Caenorhabditis elegans: one gene and its partners. The protein of the gene in region 3 purifies or fractionates together with the protein of the main gene of each other region. This does not show direct contact. Each region holds a gene or a part of one and is shown on either strand. Other genes may lie near its edges. The genes, in order: snrp-200, rpl-15, eef-1G and eftu-2.

Region 1 (7,565 bases), on a different chromosome or scaffold from region 3:
TTTCAACTTTTTGCTCTTTTGCCTTCAATTTTGAAATGTGAGTATAAAATTGTAGATACAGAGGTTTTTTGGTATGCTGCATCCGATGTCAATATTAGTTTCCCAAAAAAGTTTGCAGATGCCCTATACAGCTCAAGTGGAGGGGGTTTAATAGCAGTTGGGCGCATTAAAGTACTCCTACAAAAACATAAAAACATCTAACCAGTAAACCCAACTCAATATCTTGTCAAAAACCAAAAATTGTGCATACCTGTAGTGCTACGTCACATACCAAAATCAGACGAATACTATTTTTTAGATATTGGTAATGATATAGAGAACATGGAAGTTTGATTGAAAACATTTGAATCTTGTTGATTTTTTTGTAACTGGAAAACAATAGTTCAAAATGCCGAAATGCCGAATGCCGAATGCCGGCATAATGCCGGTTTTTAGAGCGCGGCATATGCCGAAATGCCGATTTCAAAATTCAAGGCATATGCCGAAAATGCCGTTATGCCGAAAAGAAAAATGGACGGCAAACTGCATTATAAACATTTTTATCGATTTTTTCAATATTAAACAGATATTTAAAAAGCCAAAAAATGAGGGAAAATGTCCCGTTCCCGTGAAAATTTCAAAAACGGGACAACGGGAATTCCCGTTCTCGTGAAAACACCCCAAAAACGGGACAACGGGACAAACGGGACACGGGAATTGACACCCTTGCTGCACAGCGCGGACTGCAGACTTTTCAAATAATAGTTAATATAAAACTTGATTGTACAGATTATTAATAAATTCGATGTTTATAATTTTTTTTTAAACAACAGTGGATATGGGGGAAATTACTGAAACTAAAAGTACTGATTTTTAAAACGTTCAACTGGTTTTTCACAGATTTTTCTCTTTTTTTTTTGTGATATTTCTGCACATTGGGCAAATATGAGTATTTTAAATGGGTGTTAATTAATTAATCAAATATAATTTAAGTTAAACAAAAAAAACAAAAAACTATGCGCGTAAAACATAACGCATTGAGTTCATACTGCGTATTTTGTGAACTACAGTAGCCAGGAAAATTTGACCTAAATTAATAATGGCTTGTGAGCGCGCGCAAAAAAATTAGGCGCCAATTTTTGATTTTTTTTTTCGAGAATTATCTTGTTTTTGTCATCATTTTTGAATAATTTTCCGTTCGACGTGCCGCTTTTTGGGATTTTTTGTTGAAATTTTCACCAATTTTAACGCTTTTTCAGCCATTTTGTCGTTGATCGCCCCAGTTTCTTGTCTATTTTCAATTTGCTGTATTCGTTCCTTGCGTTCATATTTAGGCCATTTAGCTCATCTGGAGCCACCTAATGAGTTTAAAACTTCAAATTTTTGATTTTTCCGGGCGGAATTCCGGTAATTATTCACTTCGTAAAAGTTTTCTCGTTAAATTTGTCGAAATTTTAATTGAAATTTTTTTTTTCTTCGATTTTTCATGATTTGCTATCACATTTCTGCTTTTTATCAACCAATTTCAGCTTGTTTTGAGTTAATTCCTCACGAAATAGATTAATTTTTTAAAGGCGCATGCATTTTCCCACTGCCGATATCCCGTTGCGCACGAGTGTTTGCCTCTCGTGTACTTCTCTCGGACAATTGGCGGGACTTTCGAAATTCATTTTTTGAGGTTTTTCTATTGGATTTTTAGTGTTTTCCGGCAGTTTGTTGAATAATTTAGCTCAAAAATGTTCTAAATTGTGAGATTTATTCGTTTTTAAAGTATAAATTGTGTGACAAGGACCATTGCATCGCTGGGAAGAGCAATAGTTAACTATTTCGCTGGAATTCTAGTAATCGGACGATTCTGTGGACTTATTGAGAGGTTTTTGATATTTTCTTATTGAAGCGTGTTCCTATGCTGAATATTTAGCTGATTTTGCTGCAAAAACAAGTTTTTCGGCCATATGCAAACTGATTCTCGAAAAAAAATCCCAGTTCTCTTAATTTTTCCCATTAATTCTCCTCATTTACGCTTCCAACTCCTACATTTTTGCCTTAAAAGCTTTCCATCTTATTAGCTAGCCAAATGAAGCGAGAATAAACAATTTCTAGCTCTTCTCTCATCTCCAACCATCTGCGTCTCCGCTCTCTTCCCATTTTCGAAAATGTCTTGCTTTGGAGCAGATGGACCGTTGTCAAGGCATTTTTTATCGCTTTTTTTCGTTTTCCCGTGTTTTCAATCGATTTCTCGTTCTCATTTATTCAAAAACAATATTTTCAGCTTAAAATGGAACCGACAGCCGCCGAGAACAACAACAATGTGTGGCTATTCTACCCGAATCTCATCGGTTATGGACGCATAGTACTCGCCATTTTGGCCATGTACTACATGTCGTCAGCGCCATGGTGTGCAATGTTCTGGTGAGTTTTGGCGAGCTGGAAATCGATTTTTGCATCAAAAATTAGCTAATATCCATGTTTACTACTACTTTTCATCTCTTTTTCACTGAAATGTCGAGTATTTTTGCGATGCATGGTAAAGAAATCAAGGTGACCAGGTTTCTTTTCAATTTTCCCCCATAATTGAAGAGTTACAATGCCATCTGACAAGGTTTTTCAGAAGAAAAGTCCTGAAAATTAGATTTTCGTAATTAAAATTTCTCATAATTTCAGCTATGCACTCAGCGCCGGACTCGACGCGTTTGACGGATGGGCGGCACGGACCTACAATCAATCGAGCCGATTTGGAGCAATGCTCGATCAGCTCACCGATCGGTACGTTAAAATTTCTCAAATATGCTGGAAAATTCGAGAAAAAAATTGGATTCGGTAAAATTCTCATATTTTCAGCTGCGCCCTGCTGGCCTTGGTGATGGCGCTCTGCAAGTTCTACCCGGATCACTTGTTCCTGCTTCAACTGTCGGCCGTAATCGACATCGCATCTCACTGGCTTCACCTTCACGCCACTGATCTCTCCGGTGCCACGAGCCACAAGCAGTCTTCGAATTGGCTTCTGAACCTCTACTACACGGATCGATTGTTCCTCGGATTCATGTGCGGCGGAAATGAGGCTTTCTACATTTTGCTCTACATTCGCGCGTTCTGGGCTGGTAAATATTTGATTTATTTTTGCTATAATTTATTAATTCCTCTAATTTTCAGGACCACTGATCTTCAACTTCCACTTCATGTCGATCTTCCCACTCATCGCCTTCCCGATTGCCTTCGTCAAGTCCGCCATCTCCGTCGTCCATCTGTACACTGCCGCCGAGATGGTCGTTGCTCACGATGTGAAGCTCCGTGTTGAGGCTGCTCAGAAGGCCCAATGATCTCCGGATCTCCCCGAAGTCTCCAAGATTCTCCTCTGATTCCCCATGAGCTTTTGTATACACATTCCCCACTACTTAATTCACGAGCTTTACGCTTAGCTTTAGTCCTTTAGTGCTCTCGTCTCAGGAAAATGTTTCCGATTTCCATTTAATTCCAAATTTGAACATATTTCTCTGTAATTTTTTTCCCCGTAATTTTTTTTTTCGCAAATTCCCGATGTACTTACTCTGTAAAATAATATTTATTTTGTTTATTTTATTTTCCATTTATTATTCAATTCGAATTGGTTTTCAGCCAGCCGATTTTATCTATTTTCTCTCAATTTTTATTTCTTGTTTTGATTTTTTTAACCTTAATCCCACGATTTTTGCAGGATATTCGACTATCCCGAGTTGACTACAAACTACAATGGCCGACGAGCTAGCCCGAATCCAGCAGTATGAGTACCGGCAGAACTCCAACTTGGTTCTGTCGGTCGACTACAATCTGACGGATCGGCGTGGCAGAGAGGAGCCGACTGGCGAGGTGCTGCCGATCACGGATAAGGAGATGCGCAAAATGAAGATGGGTGACCGGGCGATCAAGGGAAAAGCGCCGGTGCAGGATCAGAAGAAGAAGAGAAAGAAGAAGGACGACGAGAAAGCACAACAGTTCGGCCGGAATGTCCTTGTCGACAATAATGAGCTCATGGGAGCCTACAAGCCCAGAACCCAGGAGACGAAGCAGACTTATGAAGTGATTTTGTCTTTCATTTTGGACGCACTTGGCGATGTTCCACGCGAGGTTCTGTGCGGAGCCGCTGACGAGGTGCTTCTCACGCTGAAAAACGACAAATTCCGAGATAAAGGTGAGGTGAAAATCGAAGATTTTCAATAAAATTTATATTTTTTTTTCAGAGAAGAAGAAAGAAGTGGAAGCTCTTCTGGGACCGCTCACCGACGATCGTATCGCAGTTCTCATCAACTTATCGAAGAAGATCAGCGATTTTTCGATCGAAGAGGAGAATAAGCCTGAAGGCGATGGAGACATCTACGAGAATGAGGGTGTAAATGTGCAGTTCGACTCGGATGAGGAAGAAGATGACGGTGGGATGGTTAATGAGATCAAAGGTGATAGTGAGGAGGAGAGTGAAGAGGAAGAAGGTGTGGATACAGATTACACGGCAACACTCAAAGGAGATGGTCATTTGACGGAAGATGAGCAAAAAGCACGAGGAATTCTTCATCCACGTGACATCGACGCTCATTGGATCCAAAGATCGCTCGCCAAGTACTTCAAAGATCCTCTGATCGCCCAACAGAAGCAAACGGAAGTCATCGGAATTCTCAAGAACGCCGCCGACGATCGTGACGCCGAGAATCAGCTTGTCCTGCTGTTAGGCTTCGATCAGTTCGAGTTCATCAAGTGCCTTCGCCAGAATCGTCTTATGATCCTCTACTGTACACTTTTGCGTCAGGCGAACGAGAAGGAGCGTCTCCAAATCGAAGATGATATGCGATCTCGTCCAGAGCTTCATCCGATTCTTGCACTTCTTCAGGAGACTGATGAGGGATCTGTTGTGCAGGTGGAAAAGTCGAAACGAGACGCGGAGAAGTCGAAGAAGGCCGCCACAGCAGCAAATGAAGCCATCAGTGCGGGACAGTGGCAGGCGGGCCGCAAGATGTTGGATCTAAACGATCTCACGTTCAGTCAAGGATCTCATTTGATGAGCAATAAAAGGTAAATACAATTTTATTTTAAAAGTACGATTTTCCATTAGAAAATTAAGGAAATTTGATTCATTATGCACTTTAAAAGTCCACATTCCCAAAAAACCCTAAAATTCTCAATTTTGCAGATGCGAGCTCCCCGACGGATCCTACCGCCGCCAGAAAAAGTCCTACGAAGAAATCCACGTACCAGCCCTCAAACCACGACCATTTGCTGAAGGAGAGAAGCTCGTCAGTGTCTCAGAGCTCCCGAAATGGGCCCAACCGGCTTTCGACGGCTACAAGTCGCTGAACAGGATCCAATCCCGACTCTGTGATTCAGCTCTTCGATCCAAAGAGCATCTCTTGCTCTGTGCTCCAACTGGAGCTGGAAAGACGAACGTGGCGCTGCTCACGATGCTCCAAGAAATCGGAAACCACTTGGCAGAGGATGGAAGTGTGAAGCTCGATGAGTTCAAGATTGTCTACATTGCTCCGATGAAGTCACTGGTTCAAGAGATGGTTGGAAGCTTCTCAAAACGTCTTGCTCCATTCGGAATCACTGTCGGCGAAATGACCGGAGATGCTCAAATGAGCAAAGAGCAGTTCATGGCGACACAAGTGATCGTTTGTACGCCGGAAAAGTATGATGTGGTGACGCGAAAAGGCGGAGAGAGAGCCTATAACCAGATGGTTCGGCTGTTGATCATTGATGAGATCCATCTGCTTCACGATGATCGTGGACCGGTGTTGGAGTCGATCGTCGTCAGAACGATTCGTCAAATGGAGCAGAATCACGATGAGTGCCGACTGGTCGGACTTTCAGCAACTCTTCCGAATTATCAAGATGTGGCGACGTTCTTGCGAGTGAAGCCTGAGCATTTGCACTTCTTTGATAACAGCTATCGTCCAGTTCCCCTCGAGCAACAATATATTGGAGTTACTGAGAAGAAGGCTTTGAAGAGGTTCCAGGCGATGAACGAAGTGGTGTACGACAAGATTATGGAGCACGCCGGAAAGAGCCAAGTCCTCGTTTTTGTGCATTCCCGAAAGGAAACTGCGAAAACCGCGAAAGCGATTCGTGACGCGTGCCTCGAGAAGGACACGCTGTCGGCGTTCATGCGTGAGGGCTCAGCGAGCACAGAAATCCTGAGAACCGAGGCCGAGCAGGCGAAGAATTTGGATTTGAAGGACCTCTTGCCGTATGGATTCGCTATTCATCACGCTGGAATGAACAGAGTTGATCGTACACTCGTCGAGGATTTGTTCGCTGATCGGCATATTCAGGTAGGGGAATCGAAAATTTCCCGAAAATATTTCAAATCTTCAAAATATTATTTTTCAGGTGCTCTTTTCGACTGCAACTCTCGCTTGGGGAGTCAATCTGCCGGCTCATACTGTAATCATCAAGGGAACTCAGATCTATAACCCGGAAAAAGGACGTTGGACAGAGCTCGGAGCACTCGACATCATGCAAATGCTCGGAAGAGCCGGACGTCCACAGTACGATGATCGCGGAGAGGGAATTCTCATCACAAATCACTCGGAGCTCCAGTATTATCTCTCGCTGATGAATCAACAGCTTCCTGTCGAGTCGCAGATGGTCTCACGGCTCACTGATATGCTCAACGCTGAGGTTGTGCTCGGCACTGTCAGTAGTGTGTCGGAGGCGACGAATTGGTTGGGTTACACTTTCCTTTTTGTGAGAATGTTGAAGAATCCGACGCTTTATGGAATTACACATGAGCAAGCGGTAGGTTAAGCTTGAAATTTTAGCATTTTTCATAGAAAACCCTAAAATTCTCCAATTTTCAGCGCGCCGATCCTCTTCTAGAACAACGTCGTGCCGATCTCATCCACACAGCTTGCGTGCTTCTGGACAAGGCCGGACTCATCAAATATGACAAGCGAAGCGGAATCATTCAGGCCACCGAGCTCGGGCGCATCGCTTCTCACTTCTACTGCACATACGAGTCGATGCAAACCTACAACAAGCTGCTGGTCGAGACGTGCTCGGATATCGATCTCTTCAGAATTTTCTCGATGAGCTCCGAATTCAAGTTGCTGTCGGTTCGCGATGAGGAGAAGCTGGAACTTCAGAAGATGGCAGAGCACGCGCCGATTCCGATCAAGGAGAACCTGGATGAAGCGTCGGCGAAGACGAATGTCCTTCTTCAAGCCTATATCTCACAGTTGAAGCTCGAAGGATTCGCGCTTCAGGCGGATATGGTCTTCGTGGCTCAGAGTGCCGGACGACTCTTCAGAGCTCTTTTCGAGATTGTGCTATGGAGAGGTTGGGCTGGGCTCGCTCAGAAGGTGCTCACTCTTTGCAAGATGGTTACACAACGGCAATGGGGATCGTTGAACCCGCTGCATCAGTTCAAGAAGATCCCGAGCGAGGTGGTTCGATCGATTGACAAGAAGAACTACTCGTTCGATAGACTGTATGACTTGGATCAACACCAGCTGGGAGATTTGATTAAGATGCCGAAGATGGGAAAGCCGCTCTTCAAGTTCATTCGCCAGTTTCCGAAGCTTGAGATGACTACTCTCATCCAGCCGATCACAAGAACCACC
Region 2 (5,821 bases), on a different chromosome or scaffold from region 3:
AAATAAATACTTGTTTCTTTTTTATTCTTCTATATATTTTTCATACTTTGACATGAAAAAAAAATTCAAAAATGATCATGTTATTTTCCAAATCCACCACGGCACGTCGGACTGTCTTCTTGCTTCTGTCCGTCCCACTTGCTGGTTGGAATAGCGTCGATTCGAAGCGCGTGGACAGTCGTGGCAAGCTCCTTGGCAAGACACGTGTTCACAAGACGATGTCTCTGAAAATCAACATTTTTTTGGGTTAATACGGGCTTCCAAATTTTGTGAAAACCATAGAAATTCGTTTCAAAAATTGTGCCCGTAAATCGACACAAGAGCTACAGTGGGGTCATTTAAACAATTACTGTAGTTTTCGCTACGAGATATTTTGCACGTCAACAGAATTTTTTGTTCTTATAATAACCATAATTTGGGTCTCGTTAGGTATTGGGGCCGCAAACACGAAACTTCCAAATTTTTGAACTATTTTCGCCAATTTTAGCGAAAATTTGCGATTTTTGCTCCAAAAATGCGGTATCATCCGGCGGCCTCGAAACTAAATTTTCTGTTACATTGGAAAAAGAGTGCGTCTTTAAAAAAATACAGTAACTTCAAAATTTTATTTCTACCGAGTTTTTATCGATTTTTCATAGTTTTTCTCGCGAATTTATGTGTTTTTATTGTTATGGGTTTTTTTAAATAAATAAATAATTTTTATCGAAAAATTATGAAAAGTCGATGAAAATTGCGCAGAAACGAGTCCTTGAAATTACAGTACTCTTTAAAGGCGCACACCCGTTTGTATTTAACAAAACTTGTCGTGTCGAGACCAGATATCATACTTTTAGCCACGAAATCGACAAATCCATGTTTTTAAGAAGGAATAAATTGGCGATAATGTTGAAAAAGCAAATGTTTTAGCTGAAAAATTGGTAAAGCCTATGAAAAAGTGCCGTTCCACGGCCTTTAGCGAGTTTTTCCATGTGTTCGACTAATCCATGTATCGATCTTTTTCCACCAACCTCGATGACACGTTTCCCCTCGAACTCATCACTGACAACTTGCACTCGGAAGTGCTTCTCGGCTCCTTTTGGAACGTTGTGCAGGTGGCTCTCGCATTCCACTTCGAGATGTTTTGGCTAGAATTCAACAGTTTCCTTCCGACATATTTAGAGATCAGTTTACCTGGAACGCGGCGAACAGCTTCTCCTTGAGAAGACGTGCTACTGGGCCTTCGCTCAATGTGCTCATTACTCTTTTCATGAAGACTGTGATTTTAAAAACTATTTCTTTTTTAATGTGAAAAATACAAAGATAAAACAATTAGGTTTGATAACAACCATTTCATTTTCGGAACAAGCCCAAAACAAAATAAAATAACAAGATTTATCGCTTGCGGTGGAAAACTTTGGTGTTCTTTCTCTTCCAGTTCTTGGCTTGGGATCCTCCGCGGGTAGCAGAGAAACGCCATCCCTTTCCGAGTCCACGAGACTTGCGTCCAGCAGAGGTGAGTCCTCTTTGCTCACGGTGCTTGTGAACTGGCTTGGTGATCCATTGGGTGTCTGGGTTACGACGGATAGCCTTGTGGAATGGATCGATCAGGACAACCTCGTAGAACTTGTAGGTGGAGTCCTCAGCAACCCAGTAGGAGTTGAGAACACGGAGGGATCCAAGACGACGTCCAGCGCGGCCCTGAAATACAACGAATTAACTTTGAAAAGTAAATGCTAATATCTGAAAATTTTGTTTAAATTGTCACAATGTCATGAATCCAATACACCACAAGGTGTTCGGGGATTACACAATGTTTTTCTATAGCCATCAGTGGATTAAGTCAGTACTATTAAAAACAGTCTGCTTTGCCCAGACACTGAGGCAACAATTTCATCTAATCATTTAATTCGTAGTAATCACCTCAGCAACGGCTTGCTTAGACTTGGCGTTCTTGAGCTCGTTAACTCCATGGGTCTTTGGCTTTCCGTAGGTTTGTCCCTTGCAGACTGGACGCTTTCTGTTTCCTCTGCGGACACGGACGCGGTAGACAACGAATCCTGAAAAATGAAATTTAATCTCAATAAATTGTATCAATGATATGAAACTGGAAAGTTCTATATAACTCAACAGGGATTACTCAATGAATTTTATATAGCCATCAATGGATTAGGTTGCTCAAGCGGGTGCAGGGCACCTTGCCCAGACATTGTGGCAAGTAGCTTTTAAAATTTTATTCAAATCTTTACAATCTTACCTTGCTTGGCACGGTATCCGAGACGGCGAGCCTTCTCTGGTCTGGTTGGGCGTGGGACACGGTGGACGGCGCTCAACTGTCTGTAGTGCCAGGTACGAATACGGAGCAAGTAGCGAAGAGCATCTGACTGCTTCTTGCGCCAGATTTCCTGCATATACTTGTATGCACCCATGTTTTCTGAAAGAAAAAAGGTTAGAATAACGAGATTGAGGGGTTGAATAAATAAAATTGTTGAAAAAGAAAAGTGAATCGAAGAATGGAACATAGTTTTTTAAAATTCTGGCTGACAGAAAATCTATTTCATCAAAGTCCCAACATTTTGGGCGGAATTCTGCGTAAAAATAACAAACTACTGATTTTTTGCCAGTAAAAATTAAAATTTTAAATTAATTTAACAAAATTCATGAAAAACCTAGGAAAACTTCACTAAAATTGCTGAAAAATCCAAAAAAATCGTTTAGGCCAACAAAACTCGTGTGTGAAATGAGAAGACGCTCTCATACACTTCGCATACACTCGAAACACGCTCCACAATGCAAACACCGTAGTCCGGCGGCTGGCCGTGTGCCAAGCCTCGTCCGCCGTAAATCGACACGAATTGTTTGTGATTTTTAATATGTTTTTCCTTGTTTTACAGGTTTTTTCAGGTTTTTATCTGGTTTTTTCGTATTTTTAATTGATAAAACATTATATTTAATCGAAAAATATCTATAAAATCAGTAATATTCGGTTTCTATCGAATAAAAAAGTCATTTTTCTCCCTAAAATGTGGTTTTTATTTGTAGAACTTTGGAAATCCGGCATAAAGCTATAATAAATGGTTTATCCCTTATTTTAGGCTACGTTATTTTCGCTAGACATTCTAAAACATCTAGAACTTTCTAAATTTCATAACTCCTCGTTGCATCATTTTTTCCCACGTGACCTCGGTTGTTTTCATCACAAACAAACACAATTTCCACTTTTCTCGTCGTATTCTCATCATTTCAGTCAGAAAATGTTGTCTCGTCTCACGATGACCGTTCCAAAAGTGGCGACTTTCACCTCGGGAGTCCGATTTTTCGCCAACACCGCCGCAAAATCAGCTCGTTATGGAGGAGGGCAGTCCGGATTCGGTTCTCGAGTAAATCAAGTGAGTTTTTCAATAATTTTTGACGAGAAAACGATTTAAAGAGTTCAGGGATTCGGAGTTCGCACTGGACCAACGCTGAAGGAGCGACTTTTGGGACCAACTACTGGAAAACGTGAGGATTTTACTGGAATTTTCAATTATAAAAAGGCCTACATATATTTCCAGCATTCGTCTACGGAACCTATGCTCTCGCTGGAGCATCCGTCTTCGGAGTTGGAGCTCTCATGTACTACGGACTCGTCTCAAAAGAGCAGAGTATTCTCCAAAAAAGCGCAATTTGGCCATCATACGTCCGTGAAAGAATCAGCACAACGTATGCTTATTTGGCTGGAAGTCTCGCTTTAACTGCTGTCAGCGGAGTTGCAGCTTCCAGAAGCGCGGCGATTATGAGATTGACCGCTGGCGGAGGAATGATGGTAAGGGACGAAATATCCCCGAAGAAAAGCGAAATTCGTTGTGAAATCCCTTGAAAATCCCGGAAAATGGGCTTCGAAGTCGCTGGAAATGCCCGATTTCGTCAGAAAACCCGGGTTTTTGTGTGCTTACCGACTGAAAATTAACCAAAAAATCGATTAAAAAAGGCTTCAAAGCCGCTGGAAATGCCTGATTTTAACGTTTTCCCGTTTTTTTTTTTTGGGCTTATTCAGTTAGAAAACCGCATTTTTGAGTGAAAATTGCAAAAAAAGTTCGAAATTTCGTCATCTCATGACTGAAAATTGCGAGTTTCAGGACCAAAAAATCAATTTTTGGCTAATAAAAAGCTTGGAAAACGAGAAATTTTTTGCATTTTTATCTACTCATGACTGAGAAATGGAATTTTCAGGTCCAAAAAATCAATTTTTTAACGAAAAATTGAAATTTGTCGTAATAATCTCTTATTCTGTTGTTTTTGCAGCGATTTTACTGGTTTTTAGGTTCAAATTTGTGTGCATATCAATTAAAAACCCGGAAAATTAATGATTTTAACTAGTTTTATCCACTTTTCGAACAATTTGAACTTCCATAAAAGGTTGGAGGTCATTTTTAAAAATTTTAAAGCAATAAAAACTTTAAAAATTATCGGAAATTTAATAAAAATCAATTTTTTCAGTCACTCTTCGGAACAATGGCTGCAATGATCGCTTCGGGAATGCTCGCCAGATCAATTGACTACGAGAGCACCGTCGCCAAGCATCTCGCCTGGGCTCTTCACTGTGGTACGGCGGATTTTCAACGGAGAACTTGAAAAAAAAAATCAATTTTGTGATTTTTACAAACTAAAAAGGCCGAACTTCGATGAAAAATTGGTCGAATTCTGGCTAAAATCTCTGATTTTGTCAACTTTTCCGTGTTGCAGCGGGTGGAAATTTACTGTTGTAGGATTATTCTACTGTTTTGCATAAGTTTTGGCTCGGCTAGCTTTTAATGTACCTAAATCAACCAAATATATTGTAAGAAAAACTATATTTATATGCAAAAAGGACCGAAAAAACCGAATAAAATCAATTTCCAATAGCTGCGAGACGGAAAAATTGACAAAATTTGAGATTTTTTAAGCCGAAATTGGAAACTTTCCGAAATTTTGATATAATTATATATATAAAATTTCATCCAATTTCCTCTATATTCAGGTGTTCTCGGAGCCGTCTTCGCGCCGCTGTGCTTCATGGCCGGCCCAGTTCTCACTCGTGCGGCTTGGTACACGGCCGGAATCGTTGGAGGCCTCTCGGCCACCGCCATCACCGCTCCATCGGAGAAGTTTTTGATGATGTCCGGACCACTTGCCATGGGATTTGGCGTTGTTTTTGTCGCCAACATTGGAGCATTCTTCTTGCCACCTGGATCAGCTCTGGGAGCCAGTACGTAGTGAAATTTGGAGAAAAATGCGAAAATTCGGCTGAAAATATCGAATTTTGCTGCAAAATGTGCAAAAAAAATGGCATTTATGCCAGAAAAAACGTTTTTCTGATGAATTTCGCACTGAAAATGGCTGAAATCTGAAGTTTTCAGCTAAAATTCTCGTCGCTTTCGCGATTTTTGTAATAATCTAGGAAATTCTTCAGAAATTAGATTAAAATATCGCAAAAACAACAATTTTCTGCAGTTTTTGCTATGAAATTTCAGTTTTATAGAGAAAAATCGTAAAAATCTGAAACCGAAAAATTCCCACTTCTCCACGTGGAGTACACGACCATTGCGTAAATCTACACAACAAACCGGGTTTGAAATGCGATTTTTTCGATTTTTTAATGCAAAAAAAATCCAAAATTCTCTGAAATTCAGAAAAACCACACGAAAAAAGCGAAAAAAAATTGCAAAAGTGTGAAAAATTCTTCAAAAAATTATTTCAGGTCTCGCATCGATTGTCGTCTACGGTGGTCTCATCCTCTTCTCGGCCTTCCTTCTCTATGATACGCAGAGACTCGTCAAAAAGGCTGAAAATCACCCACATTCATCTCAATTGTACGGTTCCGACA
Region 3 (7,349 bases):
TTAGCGGATGCAGATGTTCCTCCAGACACTAGAGCAGCAACTTCAGCAGCTTGACCATCAGAATTGGTTTTTGTAAGCCAGGCAAACAGTTTTACAATAGTTTTGGTTAAAGTCTTTGCCTCTTCAACATGACTGTCACCATTACGTTCCAGTATTGCATCAGCTAACGATAGCTCTTTGAGGAACATTTCATGTTCCATTTCAGTTCGATGGCTTTCAGGTTGACAGAATGGTACTTTGAATTCTACAGTAGTCGGTGCATTGATTCCATTTACAAGGGGAGATCGGGATCCGCGACAATAGATGTATCGAAATTCTTTCACTGTGAGACCAATCGGGAAAATTGCGTCCGAAGGTGCTCTCAGAGCAGAAGAGCCTTGGAAAATAGGAATCCACAGACCTGGAGCGGATAGAACATGTACAGTGTATGCTGAATCCATCACGGCAAGTTTTCCTTGATTTGAATAAGCGATCCAGTCTAATTGCTCTCCAGTCTCAATAGGCACATCAATTCGGGAAACTGCTCCAGTTGAACCATGATGTCTGTTTTCTCGATACCATGATTTTGGATTTAAAGTATATTCTACAACTTCGAATCTCCATTGAGGTGTCTTTTTCTGTTCATAAAATTCCGATCCACACACCGAAGCGATTGCAAGTCGGTCTTCAAAGCAAGCAGCTGTGAGAATTGGTGCGAAATGTGTGAATATTTGTCGTTGAATTCCTCCAATAGTGAAAACTCGAATGTTTCGTTTTTTCGTGAGCACAACGACTTGAGTATTTGAGCAAAGCACATCAATACACCCGTCTCCACGAGGAAGAACCATCGACCACCGCTGACTGTCGAATGCTTGAATTGGAATTACATGTAGAAGACTAGTTCCTTTCTTTTCTGTTTTAGCAGGTTCATCAGTTTCAAGATCTTCAATGTCGTCGTTTGCTTTGTCAAGTTCTTTCTCTTTTTTCCGGCTCTCAACACTTGCCAGTGCAACAACCTTCAACGAAATATCCGCGAGTTCGTAGTTGATTTCAAAGTTGTCAATATGAATATCACCGTGGATGCTTTTATTGTGAAACTCGATCTGAAAAAAAAACGCTTGTTGTGAAGCAAGCTTATACAACTTACATCTATCGTTGAAACTTTATTTGCCTCGTTAACGTAGCTGCGAATAATTCCGAATCGATTATACTTCAGAAACCTTTGTGTTGCGTCGAGATCCATTGGAGAGCTGTTAGATACAAATCGTTCAGGAATAAGAACTTTTCGGGGAGCAGGTGGATCAGAATAGACTTGCGGGAGAGGATCATTCAAATTTCTGTCCGAGCTCATCGGTCGCATTTCCTCAGGTTCACCGAGTTTAAAACCGAATTCTTCAAGCCCTCCAAGATCTTGGTTCCCATAATTGAATTGTCGTTTGATAGCTCCAAGATCGGAAGACACTAAAATTAAAACATCAAGAGAAATTATATTTACAATCCCTCACTTCGGGTATCTTCATCTTCTTCAATGGCTTCTTCATTGAATAAACTATCTTTTTTGAGTGAAGTTCTATTCAAAAGGATTGAGTCGTCATCATCACTATCAACTGCAACATCTTCAGTTTTGTTTGAAACAGGCTTCTCGTTAGATGAATCATCTTTGAAGACATTAAACAAACAGATTCCTCTCTAAAATATTGTTACTTGAAAGTGCTCGAAAAGGGAAAAACTCACATTTGAATCAGCGACAATCAATTTTTTTGGGGAGAATGGAGAAAAAACAATAGAAGTGATGATAGTGATACCAGGTGCATTTCTCACGAATTTTTCACAACACACAATATCTCTGGAAAAAATGTATTATTTATCAGTTCACACATTTACCTAAATTTACAATTCATCACTATTCCAAACAGCAATTTGATTATCCATGGTTGAGGAGGCAAGATACTTCCCACACGGCGAAAGCGCAGTAACCGAAAAATCCACAGAAGCATGATCTTTCAAACGGTATACACCAGATTCTTCCCACCCATTTCGACGGTACGATTTCACACATCCTTTTGAAGGAACAAACAGCCATTGACCATCCTTTGACCATGAGAGTTGAATACGAGGTCGTGAAACACTGAAAAACAGGACATTGTTTAAAACCGAAGTATAACATGAAACACTAACTCAATTGTTTCAAATCTTGGGAAAACCTTGGTCAGTGTGTGTTTAATCGAGAATGAATCAATGTCTATAATAGTCACATTGCCATCCACAGTAGAAACGGCCACAAATTCATTTTTTGGATCCAGTTTGACACAAAGAACTTCAGCTTCAAGACTTCTCGTTTTCAGCTCTGCATCTAAATCTTTCATATTCGTGCATTTAACCGCATAATCGCTAGATCCTCCAATAACATTTTCCCTGTTTGCGTCGACCGTTGTGACATCCATTTGGAATTCAAGAGGATCAATAATATCTCCTGCTTCGAAATTGCCCTTTTTCGCCCGTCCCACCATTTGCTGCTCGGATCCAACAATGAAATCCACCTTGCGGTAACCAAAACAGATGTTTTCTCCATACCAAGCAATAGATGATGTTGTCGCATCGGGAATCTCGATTATTTCAGGTTTTTCATCTTGCAGCAACACGTTCTTATTGATCTTGAGTACATTTCGTTCAGCATCACAAACGTAAATCTGAAAAAAACAGGTAAATATGTTTATAAATCGTTTTAAATCCTACATTTTCAGTATCTTCTCCTGAAGCATCAATGCAGATAGTTTGAAGGCCGATATTCTCCAAATTTTTAACGTTAGTAAAGCTCATCTGAAAACAATGGAATTACGAGTGAAATTATTTATTTTCATCAAAAATAAATAAAATGCGAGCAAATTTTAAACCTGATTCTTGGCGCCGAAATGCGGTAAAAAAGTGTAATGCAACCATGGACCAGTGAACTGCGTAGAACCCCTATGTTTTGCGTACTGGCATTCTGCCAGGGGCACATACGCAGACTTTTCAGTGTATTTTTCCTCTGAAGAACACCACTCTTTTCAAGCGCCTCTTCTTTGAGCGTCGCTTCACTAGATTCTCCGACTCGTTGGTGACATCATGACCGGAGTAAGTTTATAAAATTAATTTCATTAAATTTGCAGTGCTGTTAAGAATAGTTAACGTGATTTCCGTTCGTTGCATTGAAAAATGATTAGGCCAAACCTTGAAATGACGAAATTTAACCAATTATTGATTTTTATTTTGCAGAAACTGTATGGAAACAAGGACAACTTCAGAACCCAAAAGGTTTTGATTGCTGCCAAGCTCGCCAACAAGACTGTCACCCTCGCCGGAGATGCTGCTCCAGCTGACAAGTTCCCACTTGGAGTTGTACGTTTTAATTTATTTAGATGTCAGTATTTGACGATCTGTGAACTATCAATGTGCAGAATTTCAGACCCCAGCATTTGAAGGAGATGCTCTTCTCTTCGGAGCTGAGTCGATCGGACTTCACCTGACTGGAACCTCAGCTAACGCCGAGACTGTCCAATGGCTTCAATTCGCAGAAGGTTATCTTCTTCCAGCTGTTCTCGGATACGTTCTTCCATCTGTGTCTGCAGCCAACTTTGACAAGAAGACTGTTGAACAATACAAGAATGAACTCAACGGACAACTCCAAGTACTCGATCGTGTTCTTGTTAAAAAGACCTACTTGGTTGGAGAACGTCTTTCTCTTGCCGACGTTTCCGTTGCTCTTGATCTTCTCCCAGCTTTCCAAGTACACTATGACCCAGATTATATGTATACACTCCTAATTTTCAGTATGTTCTTGATGCCAACGCTAGAAAGTCCATCGTCAACGTCACCCGTTGGTTCAGAACCGTTGTTAACCAGCCAGCTGTTAAGGAGGTTCTTGGAGAAGTTTCCCTTGCCTCATCGGTTGCTCAATTCAACCGTAAGTTTCTTTTTTGTTAGTGTGAATTTGTTTTGTTCCACTGCGAAGTCAGCAGACTAGTCAATCGATTAGTAGGCGTTACAGTGGTGGAATATCAAGATTTATGTACACCGTCTTTGCTTGAAACAGTTTTTGTTTTTGCTTTGTTCGGAACGTTTTTCATGGGACTGAGAGTTGGAAATTTAGCACTGGTCGTTTACAGGGTTGTCCTGCAGTCAATTCTAAGTTACCTTAGTTTATGTCCCACACATTTAAAAAGAAATCTAATTTTATAAAAAAACTTCTGATTTTGTATTCCCAGTTTAAATTTTATTCTTATTTTACAGAAGCCAAGTTCACTGAGCTCAGCGCTAAAGTCGCCAAGTCTGCTCCAAAGGCCGAGAAGCCAAAGAAAGAGGCCAAGCCAGCTGCTGCGGCTGCCCAGCCAGAGGACGATGAACCAAAGGAGGAGAAGAGCAAGGATCCATTCCAAGATATGCCAAAGGGAACATTCGTTCTTGACAATTTCAAGAGATCTTATTCCAACGAAGACACCGCTACCAAGGCTATCCCACACTTCTGGGAGAACTTCGATGCTGACAACTGGTCCATCTGGAAGTGCGAGTACAAATACCCAGAAGATCTCACTCTCGCCTTCATGAGCTGTAACCTTATCAATGGAATGTACCAAAGACTGGAGAAGTTGAAGAAGAATGCTTTCGCCTCCATGATTCTTTTCGGAACCGACAACAATTCGACCATCTCAGGAATCTGGGTGTGGAAGGGTGACAAGCTCGCCTTCGAACTCAGCCCAGACTGGCAGGTAGGACCATTTCCTCGATTTTGAATGTCGAAGAGTAGTCATTTGTATACGTGATACACTTATACAGAGTTACACTTTTCGTATATAAGTGCTTCTTCTCGTTGGAGTTGTTTATTTAATGAGCAATTACCTCTAAACTGAAAGCAACAATTTTATGAATTCTCGATAGTTTTCACAATAATATATTTCAGGTTGATTACGAATCGTACACCTGGACAAAGCTTGACGCCAAGTCCGATGCCACCAAGAAGGAAGTCAACGAGTATCTTATGTGGGAGGGAGACTTCGGAGGAAAGAAGTTCAACCAAGGAAAGATTTTCAAGTAAACTGGAGTTTCCATACAACCCGGTGTATTTGCCATTTAATCCTGTTGTTTACTCTGAGTCGGAAAGAATAAATTGTTTTCTATTGTTTATAAAGGACCCGGTATCACTTCAATAAATTATATCTTCTTCAAGTTGAGATTGAATTTATTCGTCTATAAGTGTTCCTAAATAATTTTAGATTTAAAAATTAGCTCCTAAGCTTGTTTCTTCGTTTTCGGTCGTCGTATAGTCCTCGATGTGTCCTTCGAAATATTCTTGATTTGCGTGTTCCAAAAAGCAAGATTTGATGTCGTTGAAATATTGTACACATTGCAAATGGTTGATTGAGAGGCTATTGACATCACTATCTTGACTCTGTAAAAATCATTGCGTGTCAGTAAAATGTCTCTCAAACCTGATCGCAGAAAGAGTGACAGTGTATTGGAACTAATGATTTGGAGCAGCATTCCGTGTGGTTTGTTCCTCGTGCCGCACAAAAATGAATCTTTTGAATTGCAGTCACTGGGCACACTGATTGTTGAAGAAACACTGCACTGACTTCTTCTGATGAGTACGTAGAATATGAGCATAAATCTGTGCAAGATGATTCAACTTCGAGAAGTGAGCAGCAGGTGGCAAAGTGCTCATCCGGTGTCTGTTATTTAGATATTATTGAAATTAAAATTTCCAGGAACTTTTTTCATAAGTTAACTTTTCCATGATTATTAGGTAGACACGTAAAGGTCACGTGGAGTCAGAAAGTCCCATTTCGCTTTGATCTTCAAGAAATGCGGGAGAAGAGACGCAGACTTTTCAACCGATTTTGCATGGTTAAGTGTGTGCTGACGTCACATTTTTCTGGGAGAAAAAATCCCGCATGTTTTGTAGATCAAACCGCAATGAGACAGCCTGACACCACGTGAAAGGTGAGAATCCTCGCCGTTTGTTACGCGTATTGGTCTCGCCACGAGGAAAACGAATTACTGTAACTCCTTTCAATCGATTGACTAATTTTTTTAAGTAAATTTTTACAATAAATAAGTTTCTCCTAAACAAAATTGTGCAATATCGTTCAATAAATCGAGCCGAGCTACAGTAACTCGTTGTCCGCGTGTCGAGACCTATGCGCGTAAGATATGGAGGTTTCTAATCTTCAGACGTCTGTGTGATATCAATATCGCGGACGAACTGTACACGTAAAAACGTAAACACGTAAAAAACAAGTAACATGATTTTACGGGAACACAAAATTCTGGGAATGCGTATTGCGCAACATATTTGATGCACAAAATATCTCGTAGCGAAAACTACAGTAATTATTTAAAAGACTACTGTAGAGCTTGTGTTGATTTACGGGCTCGATGTTCAAAATGATTTTTTTCGTATGTATATCGTATATTGACAGCGATTTTCAACTTTCCTTCGTTTCTTCGTATGATTTTCTAATTTTTTGCTAAATTTTAATGTTCAATCAATAAATACCTAAATGATTTTTCGTCATTTTGAAAACGGAGCCCGTAAATCGACACAAGCGCTACAGTAGTCTTTTAAATAATTACTGTAACTTTCGCTACGAGATATTTTACGCGTCAAATATGTTGCGCAATACGCATTCTCAGAATTTATGTGTTTCCATAATACTGTCAAACTTTTTTTTTGAAAATACATGGTATACATACAGAAATCGGCTTCAAATCGGGAGGCCTTGATGATTCATCTTTAAATGTTTTTGTTCCAGCCGCTGTTCGGGCAACGCATCCACCTCTCATACACATAAAACCAATACCACACGGGCATCCGATTGGTTGAATCTGAAATTTTAATTATATGTTTTTGTCACTTACATGCTGCTGAAACGAAGAAGTGATCAGGTTTTGTTTGTTTTTTCAACCTTTACCTTTTTTTTGTTGCCAAAAAGTTTCATTATATATTTCTTTTATCTTTGTGCAGTGTGTTATTTAAAACACAATAAACTTCAATTTTCAAGCATAGTGTAAAGTTTGTTCAAAGTTGCATCATATTGTATAAGTTATGACAATCAATCGCTGCGAGACTCAGAAACCCGGTGATCTCTCACTTCTTTTCGCAGGTTTTGGTAATTTGCCAAATTAAAAAATTGCGGCTTTACATCTGTATTCATGTAACTTTGAATCAAATTTAAAACACATTTCGTCTTACTATTGGTGTTTGTAGACATAATCCAAAAAAGCAACTCGACCCACAACCGCCTCCAAATCCGCCTAAGCATCCCAAAGATATACACTGAAAGTAAGACTTTTGGAAGATTGATAAGAAATTTAATAGGTATACCTGACTAGAA
Region 4 (8,413 bases), on a different chromosome or scaffold from region 3:
CCTCCAATCTTAGCCTCTTTTTCAATCCCCCCCTGTCAAGTATGAGCTATTTATAATATTTTTCGAAAAATAGGAGGTGAAATAAATATATATTTATTGAGTATTAATCAAATTAAATCTCTTGGAGATGAATTTGATTTGAAGAAAGAACACAAAGAAATTCTGAAAAAATCAAATACTTTGATCACAATCGGGAATCTTTCGATAAGATCCAGAAATCTGACGTAGATTAATTCAAACTAAATTTTGATAAATGGCACATGGCACGGATAAATGATAGCAATAATTTATAATTGTTTGAGCTCCTTGAATTCTTTTAGTAATTTCCCCATCACATCCGAATGTTTTAGTCCTTGTGCAGTGTATTTCCAATAGTGTTCTTCAGAATATTCCTTGAAGCCTTCTGGATGCTCACTGACAATACGACGAGGAGCTGGTGGAGATGGCTTTGAGGAATTGGAAAGAATTGGACCAACCGGCTTGGCTTTAGGATCTTCAATACGGATTCGAGTATTCGTTCGGCGGCAATAACGGTAGAGAATGAATCTGCCAAAACATCTTCCGCACGCTTTTCGTGAGGTGTCGAGAGATTTCGATTGACGCTTTATTCTGGAGAAAAATTATATTTTTATGTATTGGAAATTGGAAATTTATCAGATTGACGGTTCTGGTGTTTTGCTTCCCTATAAGACTCTCCTATAAATTCTAGTCGATAAGACTGTGACTATTAATAAATTTTTGTGACAGTTCAAAATCCCGAAAAATAAGGTAAATTTTAAATTATATTATTTTTTGGACGTATTATTTTCGAAAATTATTTTTTAATGAATTATCAGATATATCTAGATAAATTAAAAAACTTACTCTACATCACATCCATCTTTCTCACAAACATAGAAGAACTTTGCCTCAATCTCATAACTATGACATCTTTCAATAAATGGAAGTGACTTGAACACCGAAGAGCATCGAGCTCCCCATCTCTTCCATCCTGGGCCATGACCTTCTTTATGAAGCCTGTCGACCACCCATGTTGCTGCATGACACAGTTCATGGATCAGTGTATCTCGTACTCGTTCAGCAGTTGTACATACTACTGGTGACATTTCGACAGTGCTGTTTCCATTTGAATGATTTCTGCATTGGCCAGCTGATTTTCGAAGGCGTGCGTTCCATATGACTTTCAGCTTTTCCGATGGAATTGCTGAAAAGATTCGGCGAACCAGGATGTCTTGAAGACGTGTGAGAAGGGATTCGCGATGCTTTTTATAACGTAGAGATGTTTCCTTGATATACACCTTGGCATCTTCGTGTCTGGAAAAATATTTTTTAAGCAACTAATCTCTATATTATATTTTTTATAAAATTAATTTTTATTCTGCAAAACTTGTAGGAAAATTATCGAGAGCAAGGGTGTCCTAAAAATTTGTTCGATTTTTTTTTCAGAAAAATCTAAAATCTAAAAATCTTATATCGTTAAAGGAAATTTTTTAGCTTTTCCGGAAAACTGAAATGGGAAAAAATGTTTAGAAAACAAAAAATTCATTTTTAATCGATTTAAGTTGGTTAATCTTGATGATAAAAAAGCATGATTTTTTTTCAAAAAAAAAGGAAATTCGCCACAATTTGACGTTATTTAGAGAAATTGAAATATTGGAAAATGAGCATTTTCGATTTTCGATTTCTCAAAAATTATCTTACATTGGTCCTGAGAACTTCTCACTCAATGACAGAAGAAACCATTCTTCTTCGTCAGTTGGTCGCTTCTTCTGTTTTCTATCAGAATAGCTAATCTTCGCTTCAACTTCTGGACTTGATTCTCGATATTCTTCATCGTCGACATCTTCTTCCTCTTCTTCAGATTCTTCTTCTGAACTTTCTTCGCTTATATAATCATCATCAACTACAAAATCTTTTTTAACTGGAATTTTTCTCTCTGGTTTAGCTGGCTCCGTTGGCTTTTCTCGGAGAGTTTTGAGATCTAAAAAAATTAAAATTAAAACGGAATATTTTTTGGAGCATCGTTTACAGTTTTCAAAGTTTCCATCATCTTCTGAATCGGATGAAATAACTATTTTCTTTGTTCGTTGTTTCTTTTCTTCTTTTTCCTTCGAAGGTTTTCCACACGGAGGAACATTTTCCTTGTCATCATTCTCATAATCTGACAATGACTCCACTTTCTGAACTTTTGAATTTTAAAATATTCAGATTTCAAATATGAACATTACCAATGCTTTTTTGACTTCTTTTGGTTTCTGACGTGGTTTCTGGTTGGAATCAAACATTTCCGGATATAACTGTCGAAGCATATCTCTCTCATCTTCTTTTTCAATTTTCTGAAGTAATCTATCACCAGGAGTCATTGGAGCTTCTCTTGCAATGACTCTTGCAGGCGTTCTATAGGCTGGTGTTGGAGAGCTAACTGACATCATGGATATATTATTTTCTAGAATTGAAATGCTTTCGTCGAGATTTGATATTGGCTCATCTTTCTGAAATTTTAGAATTAGCTCATCATATATGAATTTTACTGCTTGCAATTTCTTTTAAGTTGGATTTGCTATCATTATTAGTTGATCTTCGACTGCTGAAGCTGGAACTCCATGCTGTTCTGCAAAAAATGTTCCTACAATCTTAAAATCCTTCCAAAAAACTTACTCGTACGATGACGCTGAAGCATTACTTTTGTTATGAAGATCTCGAAATGGTGTAGGCATTGAGGAATACAGAAGATTTGCAGAATACGAGAAAAATAATTTTAATCTTTGAAATTTTTGATTGGCGGCAAATTAAGCGCCGTTGGTGCAATTGCGTATTTGTTGCCAGAAATGACGAGCAAAACTTTGAACAAGGTTTATTTGGAGCGCGACTTGCTCGACTTGCTCGAGCAAGTCGTTTTTTTTGAGTAGAAAAATGATATTTTAATTATTTTTCAATTTTTCGTAAAAACATTTGCAAGAATTGACCGATTTTCCAAGAATAATTGAGCTGTTCTGGAAATGTGGATTACTGTAGAAAGTACCACAACTGCGCTCCACTGCAAACGTCGGGGAGCGATTTTCGAAAACGAATTCTTAAGCTGAAAAAATATCTTAAACCACATTTTAGCATATTTCCAAGCGCAAAATGTGTGTTCATAGTTACTTCTTGATTTGTATTTTTTGCTTTTGAATCTTGGCTCTTATATTTGCTCTATATTCTCATTGGGACTCTTTGTTTTAGGCAAATACTCACTTCTCTGTATATTTCTTCTTTTTTACTTTGAAAGTCTTTCATAACCGAATTAATTATTCAGAACTGAACGTCTCGAGCGATGGATTCGGATCTCTACGATGAGTTTGGTAACTATATCGGTCCAGAGCTAGACTCTGACGATGATGCCGGAGATATTGATGACAATGGTGATGATGAAGATCGTAGCGATGTGGATGAGGATGATGAACCAGACAGAATGGAAGAAGATGACGCAGAAGAAATTCCCCAGAATCAAGTTGTTCTTCATGAAGATAAAAAGTACTATGCTACAGCTCTCGAAGTATACGGGGAAGGTGTAGAAACCTTGGTCCAAGAGGAAGACGCTCAGCCACTCACTGAACCAATTGTCAAACCAGTATCCAAGAAGAAGTTTCAAGCCGCTGAGCGTTTTCTCCCGGAAACTGTCTACAAGAAAGAATATTTAGCTGATTTAATGGACTGCCCTCATATCATGAGAAATGTTGCAATCGCTGGTCATCTTCATCACGGAAAGACGACTTTCTTGGATTGTCTTATGGAACAAACTCATCCAGAGTTCTACAGAGCTGAAGACGCAGATGCTCGATTTACTGATATCTTGTTCATTGAGAAGCAGAGAGGATGCTCGATTAAATCTCAGCCAGTGAGCATTGTGGCTCAGGATAGTCGAAGCAAAAGCTATTTGCTCAATATAATTGATACTCCAGGTACCTAAACTATAGTGGTTCATTCGTACAAAATATATTATTTTAGGTCACGTGAACTTTTCGGACGAAATGACTGCTTCATACCGTCTTGCTGATGGAGTTGTTGTGATGGTTGATGCTCATGAAGGTGTTATGATGAACACTGAACGAGCAATTCGCCACGCGATTCAAGAGAGGCTTGCAGTAACATTGTGCATTTCGAAGATCGACCGCTTGCTTCTTGAGTTGAAGCTTCCACCAGCAGATGCTTACTTCAAACTCCGTCTTATCATTGATCAAGTCAATAATATATTGAGCACTTTTGCCGAAGAAGACGTTCCAGTACTCTCTCCACTTAACGGCAACGTTATTTTTTCATCGGGACGATACAATGTCTGCTTTTCTCTATTGTCTTTTTCGAATATCTATGCGAAACAACATGGTAAGAAGCTTACGAAATTAATGTCTTGCACGATTTTTATTTTCCAGGTGACTCCTTCAACTCAAAGGAGTTTGCTCGCCGTCTCTGGGGAGATATTTACTTCGAGAAGAAAACTCGCAAATTCGTAAAGAAGTCGCCGTCCCATGATGCTCCACGTACATTTGTGCAGTTCATTCTCGAGCCAATGTACAAGATCTTTTCGCAAGTCGTCGGAGATGTCGATACTTGCCTTCCTGATGTGATGGCTGAGTTGGGAATTCGTTTGTCAAAAGAAGAACAGAAAATGAATGTCCGTCCATTGATTGCTCTCATCTGTAAACGCTTCTTTGGAGATTTCAGTGCATTTGTTGATTTGGTGGTTCAAAATATCAAATCACCACTTGAAAATGCGAAAACTAAAATCGAGCAGACATATCTTGGACCAGCTGATTCCCAATTGGCTCAAGAAATGCAGAAATGTAATGCTGAAGGACCATTGATGGTTCATACAACAAAGAATTATCCCGTAGATGATGCAACTCAGTTCCATGTATTTGGACGTGTTATGAGCGGAACATTGGAAGCAAATACAGACGTCCGTGTACTTGGAGAGAACTACAGTATTCAAGATGAAGAAGATTGCCGAAGAATGACAGTTGGAAGACTATTTGTGCGTGTTGCCAGTTATCAGATTGAAGTTTCTCGTGTTCCTGCAGGTTGCTGGGTACTTATTGAAGGAATTGATCAGCCAATTGTTAAAACTGCAACCATTGCTGAGTTGGGATACGAGGAAGATGTCTACATTTTCCGTCCTCTCAAATTCAACACTCGCAGTTGCGTGAAACTTGCCGTAGAGCCGATTAATCCATCCGAACTCCCGAAAATGTTGGATGGCTTGAGAAAAGTCAACAAGTCATATCCGTTGCTGACGACTAGAGTTGAAGAATCCGGAGAGCACGTGTTGCTCGGAACTGGAGAATTTTATATGGACTGTGTGATGCACGACATGCGAAAGGTGTTCTCAGAGATTGATATCAAAGTTGCTGATCCAGTTGTCACATTCAACGAGACTGTCATCGAAACGAGTACGCTGAAATGTTTTGCAGAGACTCCCAACAAAAAGTGGGTTTTCATTCAATTTTTTCAAAACAATAATTTTTAATCAATTTTTTCAGAAATAAAATCACAATGATGGCTGAACCTCTAGAAAAACAGTTGGATGAGGACATCGAAAATGAAGTTGTTCAAATCGGATGGAATAGACGGCGTCTTGGAGAGTTCTTCCAGACCAAGTACAACTGGGATCTTTTGGCAGCTCGTTCAATTTGGGCATTTGGCCCTGATACTACAGGACCCAACATTCTTCTAGATGACACATTGCCATCGGAAGTTGACAAACACTTGCTATCAACTGTCAGAGAATCTCTTGTTCAAGGATTCCAATGGGCAACCAGAGAAGGCCCATTGTGTGAGGAACCAATTCGTCAAGTGAAGTTCAAACTTCTCGATGCCGCAATCGCCACAGAACCACTTTATCGAGGTGGAGGTCAGATGATCCCAACTGCACGCCGATGTGCCTATTCTGCATTCCTTATGGCCACGCCAAGATTAATGGAGCCATACTATACAGTGGAAGTTGTTGCACCAGCTGATTGTGTAGCTGCTGTATATACAGTGTTAGCTAAACGACGTGGTCACGTCACCACTGATGCACCAATGCCAGGATCACCTATGTACACTATCAGCGTGAGTTTAAATATAATGTTAAAAGAGAACACACATTAAAATAGTTTTATGATATTCTAAAATTATGATTTTCAGGCGTACATTCCAGTAATGGACTCGTTCGGATTCGAAACTGATCTTCGAATTCACACACAGGGACAAGCATTCTGTATGTCTGCTTTCCATCATTGGCAACTCGTACCAGGAGATCCACTCGATAAATCCATTGTTATCAAGACTCTCGACGTCCAGCCAACTCCACATCTCGCCAGAGAGTTCATGATCAAGACCAGAAGACGCAAGGGTTTGTCTGAAGATGTCTCCGTTAACAAGTTCTTCGATGATCCGATGCTTCTCGAACTTGCAAAGCAGCAAGATTATACTGGATTCTAAATTGCGATTTCCTAACTTATTTTCTCATTGTTTCACACTTTTTATCTTTCAGTGTTCTTTCCCGTTTCATTGAGTTGTTTGATCACAATAGTAAAATGAAAATTCTTGTTTATCTATCTATCAAATGATATTCAGAGCAGGGACCAAAATTGAATTCTCTTAGTTTCGTCAAACAAGCTGAATGTCCGTTGAAGGTATTACTCTTGGACAACTTTTTTGAAAAAAAAAAAACTGAAGATCAACATAAGCCTACGCTTAATTTTAAGTCTAAGCATAAGCTATAACCGAATTGGAGGCCCCACGAAAAGGGGAGCAGAACGAAAAGGGGATCTGCAAAAAGGGGATCTGCGAAAAGGGGAGCAACGAAAAGGGGAGCTGGCACTGTGCCAAACGCACAAAACGCAATTTTTCTCACGCAGCGCACGTTGATTTTTGAAATTTTCTTCTAGAAGATACGCTTAACAACACGCGACGCGTAACATCGGAGCATCGTTGTATCGTTTTCTTCGAGGAAAATAGCGTTTGGCACAGTGCCAGATCCCCTTTTCGTTGCTCCCCTTTTCGTATCTCCCCTTTTCGCAGATCCCCTTTTTGCAGATCCCCTTTTCGTTCTGCTCCCCTTTTCGTGGGGCCTCCCGAATTGCTCTACCTCGTAAAACGAAGCGAACCACTCCAATTAAGAAACGATCATTCCTACTGGCTAAATCCGCCAGACTGAATTATTCAAGAAAACTTTCCATTTATTTAGCAACTTTTATCAAGATGTACTAGATTAACATCATCGCGTGGTCGGAAATTGAATTTTAAATTAAATTCGAGTACTCAATTTATCGTTTTGCTGATTTCTAAATTTCTGTACTAGTTTTCTCATGTGAATAGAACACAACAGTAATAACATCCTACAAAAAGTTCATATTCATAGTAATAAAAAGACGATTCGGGAAATGATGATATACGAGGAAGACAGACGGAGAGGGCAGGAAAATGTAAATAAAAAAAATAAAATTAGAATCAGGTGAAAAATGAATAAATTAAAAAGTGGCTAGTCTAGTCAAATTCAATTGTGAATCTTTCGATTCCCCAAGACGAACGATCACGGAAGATCTTAAACATTTGCCGATGTCCGAGAAGCTTTGTCCACTCTGGAAGTGTATTCTTATCAGCACGGTACTCGAACAAAACACGTCCAATTGTTTGAAGAGAGAGCCTGAAATTATATAAATAGTTTTAAAAAAAACTTATGTCCCAATAGCTTACTTTTGAAGACTGTTCTTGCTGATTGTAGGAGCATGTAGACGAGTTTCCAGACTTTCAAGCACGTCCTGTAAGAGTTCTTCTTCCGCATCATTTTCGATCAAATTGATCAATCGGCAATAATCAGTGTAGACCATTCCAGTCGCACCCCACTCGGGAATCTGATTTTCGAAAGGACGAACCATCGCGCATGCTGCTTTGAGAGCGTCATGATCTCCAGCTACAACTGCAGTTGGTGCAATATCATCCACAAATAAGCGACAAATTTCCAGATAGTTCTTTGCAGCCACAGCCAATTCGAAAAGTTGGGTAGAATCATCGACTGACTTTGCAATTGAGAATTGAGCATCAGCAATCCATTCCGAAGGAATATCGAACTGTTCGGAAATAGAATCAAACATATCATTGTCGGTGAAACGAGCAATACGGTCGAGGAGGGAACGAACTGCTGTTGATCTTCTGGATAAATATATTTATAAATTGAAAGATTCTAAAATTCAACTCACTCTTCATCATCATCAATGTGCTGCAAAACAAACAATGCATATTTTGAGAGACTTGATGCTTCCAATTGAGATGAATAGTTTCTGTGAAGTCTTGTTTCCGAAGTCTTTGACATTGTACGGTATCCAACCGAATAGAGCAAGCTCCATACGTGCCATTGAAGGAAATAATCGTTGGGATTTTCTCCAGCTGCACA

The links.
Region 1: the proteins of eef-1G (region 3) and snrp-200 fractionate together in Caenorhabditis elegans (co-fractionation; one large-scale study listed by BioGRID). This does not show direct contact.
Region 2: the proteins of eef-1G (region 3) and rpl-15 fractionate together in Caenorhabditis elegans (co-fractionation; one large-scale study listed by BioGRID). This does not show direct contact.
Region 4: the proteins of eef-1G (region 3) and eftu-2 fractionate together in Caenorhabditis elegans (co-fractionation; one large-scale study listed by BioGRID). This does not show direct contact.

What each region holds. Positions count from the first base shown.
Region 1 is NC_003280.10:12,733,019-12,740,583, reverse strand, and holds the start of snrp-200 (U5 small nuclear ribonucleoprotein 200 kDa helicase), read left to right. Parts: upstream 1-3,673; 5' UTR 3,674-3,708; coding exon 3,709-4,147; intron 4,148-4,196; coding exon 4,197-5,019; intron 5,020-5,137; coding exon 5,138-6,275; intron 6,276-6,333; coding exon 6,334-6,741; intron 6,742-6,803; coding exon 6,804-7,565. Other genes in the region: pisy-1 (CDP-diacylglycerol--inositol 3-phosphatidyltransferase), read left to right, coding at 2,258-2,391, 2,644-2,745, 2,821-3,080, 3,133-3,299. UniProt on the Caenorhabditis elegans protein: Catalyzes the ATP-dependent unwinding of U4/U6 RNA duplices, an essential step in the assembly of a catalytically active spliceosome. Plays a role in pre-mRNA splicing.
Region 2 is NC_003282.8:652,167-657,987, forward strand, and holds rpl-15 (Large ribosomal subunit protein eL15), read right to left. Parts: upstream 2,411-5,821; 5' UTR 2,406-2,410; coding exon 2,234-2,405; intron 2,196-2,233; exon of another isoform or gene 2,063-2,195; intron 2,037-2,062; coding exon 1,900-2,036; intron 1,865-1,899; exon of another isoform or gene 1,736-1,864; intron 1,678-1,735; coding exon 1,372-1,677; 3' UTR 1,314-1,371; downstream 1-1,313. Other genes in the region: Putative bolA-like protein K11H12.1, read right to left, coding at 81-224, 1,008-1,124, 1,171-1,236; K11H12.8 (Growth hormone-inducible transmembrane protein), read left to right, coding at 3,231-3,365, 3,414-3,477, 3,531-3,781, 4,456-4,561, 4,976-5,203, 5,696-5,821.
Region 3 is NC_003283.11:10,962,741-10,970,089, forward strand, and holds eef-1G (putative elongation factor 1-gamma), read left to right. Parts: upstream 1-2,978; 5' UTR 2,979-3,084; coding exon 3,085-3,093; intron 3,094-3,234; coding exon 3,235-3,357; coding exon of another isoform or gene 3,358-3,379; intron 3,380-3,424; coding exon 3,425-3,745; intron 3,746-3,789; coding exon 3,790-3,922; intron 3,923-3,957; exon of another isoform or gene 3,958-4,175; intron 4,176-4,248; coding exon 4,249-4,724; intron 4,725-4,749; exon of another isoform or gene 4,750-4,876; intron 4,877-4,915; coding exon 4,916-5,050; 3' UTR 5,051-5,182; downstream 5,183-7,349. Other genes in the region: ctf-4 (WDHD1/CFT4 second beta-propeller domain-containing protein), read right to left, coding at 1-1,082, 1,127-1,440, 1,485-1,668, 1,714-1,825, 1,874-2,107, 2,158-2,669, 2,716-2,799; dbd-16 (DB domain-containing protein), read right to left, coding at 5,231-5,404, 5,445-5,684, 6,709-6,840, 7,208-7,291, 7,340-7,349. UniProt on the Caenorhabditis elegans protein: Probably plays a role in anchoring the complex to other cellular components.
Region 4 is NC_003281.10:6,006,267-6,014,679, forward strand, and holds eftu-2 (Tr-type G domain-containing protein), read left to right. Parts: upstream 1-3,293; 5' UTR 3,294-3,313; coding exon 3,314-3,941; intron 3,942-3,987; coding exon 3,988-4,362; intron 4,363-4,409; coding exon 4,410-5,463; intron 5,464-5,516; coding exon 5,517-6,087; intron 6,088-6,162; coding exon 6,163-6,459; 3' UTR 6,460-6,574; downstream 6,575-8,413. Other genes in the region: gcna-1 (Germ cell nuclear acidic-1 protein), read right to left, coding at 288-609, 865-1,314, 1,702-1,981, 2,030-2,180, 2,229-2,492, 2,539-2,611, 2,659-2,717; npp-10 (Nuclear pore complex protein Nup98), read right to left, coding at 7,507-7,666, 7,717-8,172, 8,220-8,413.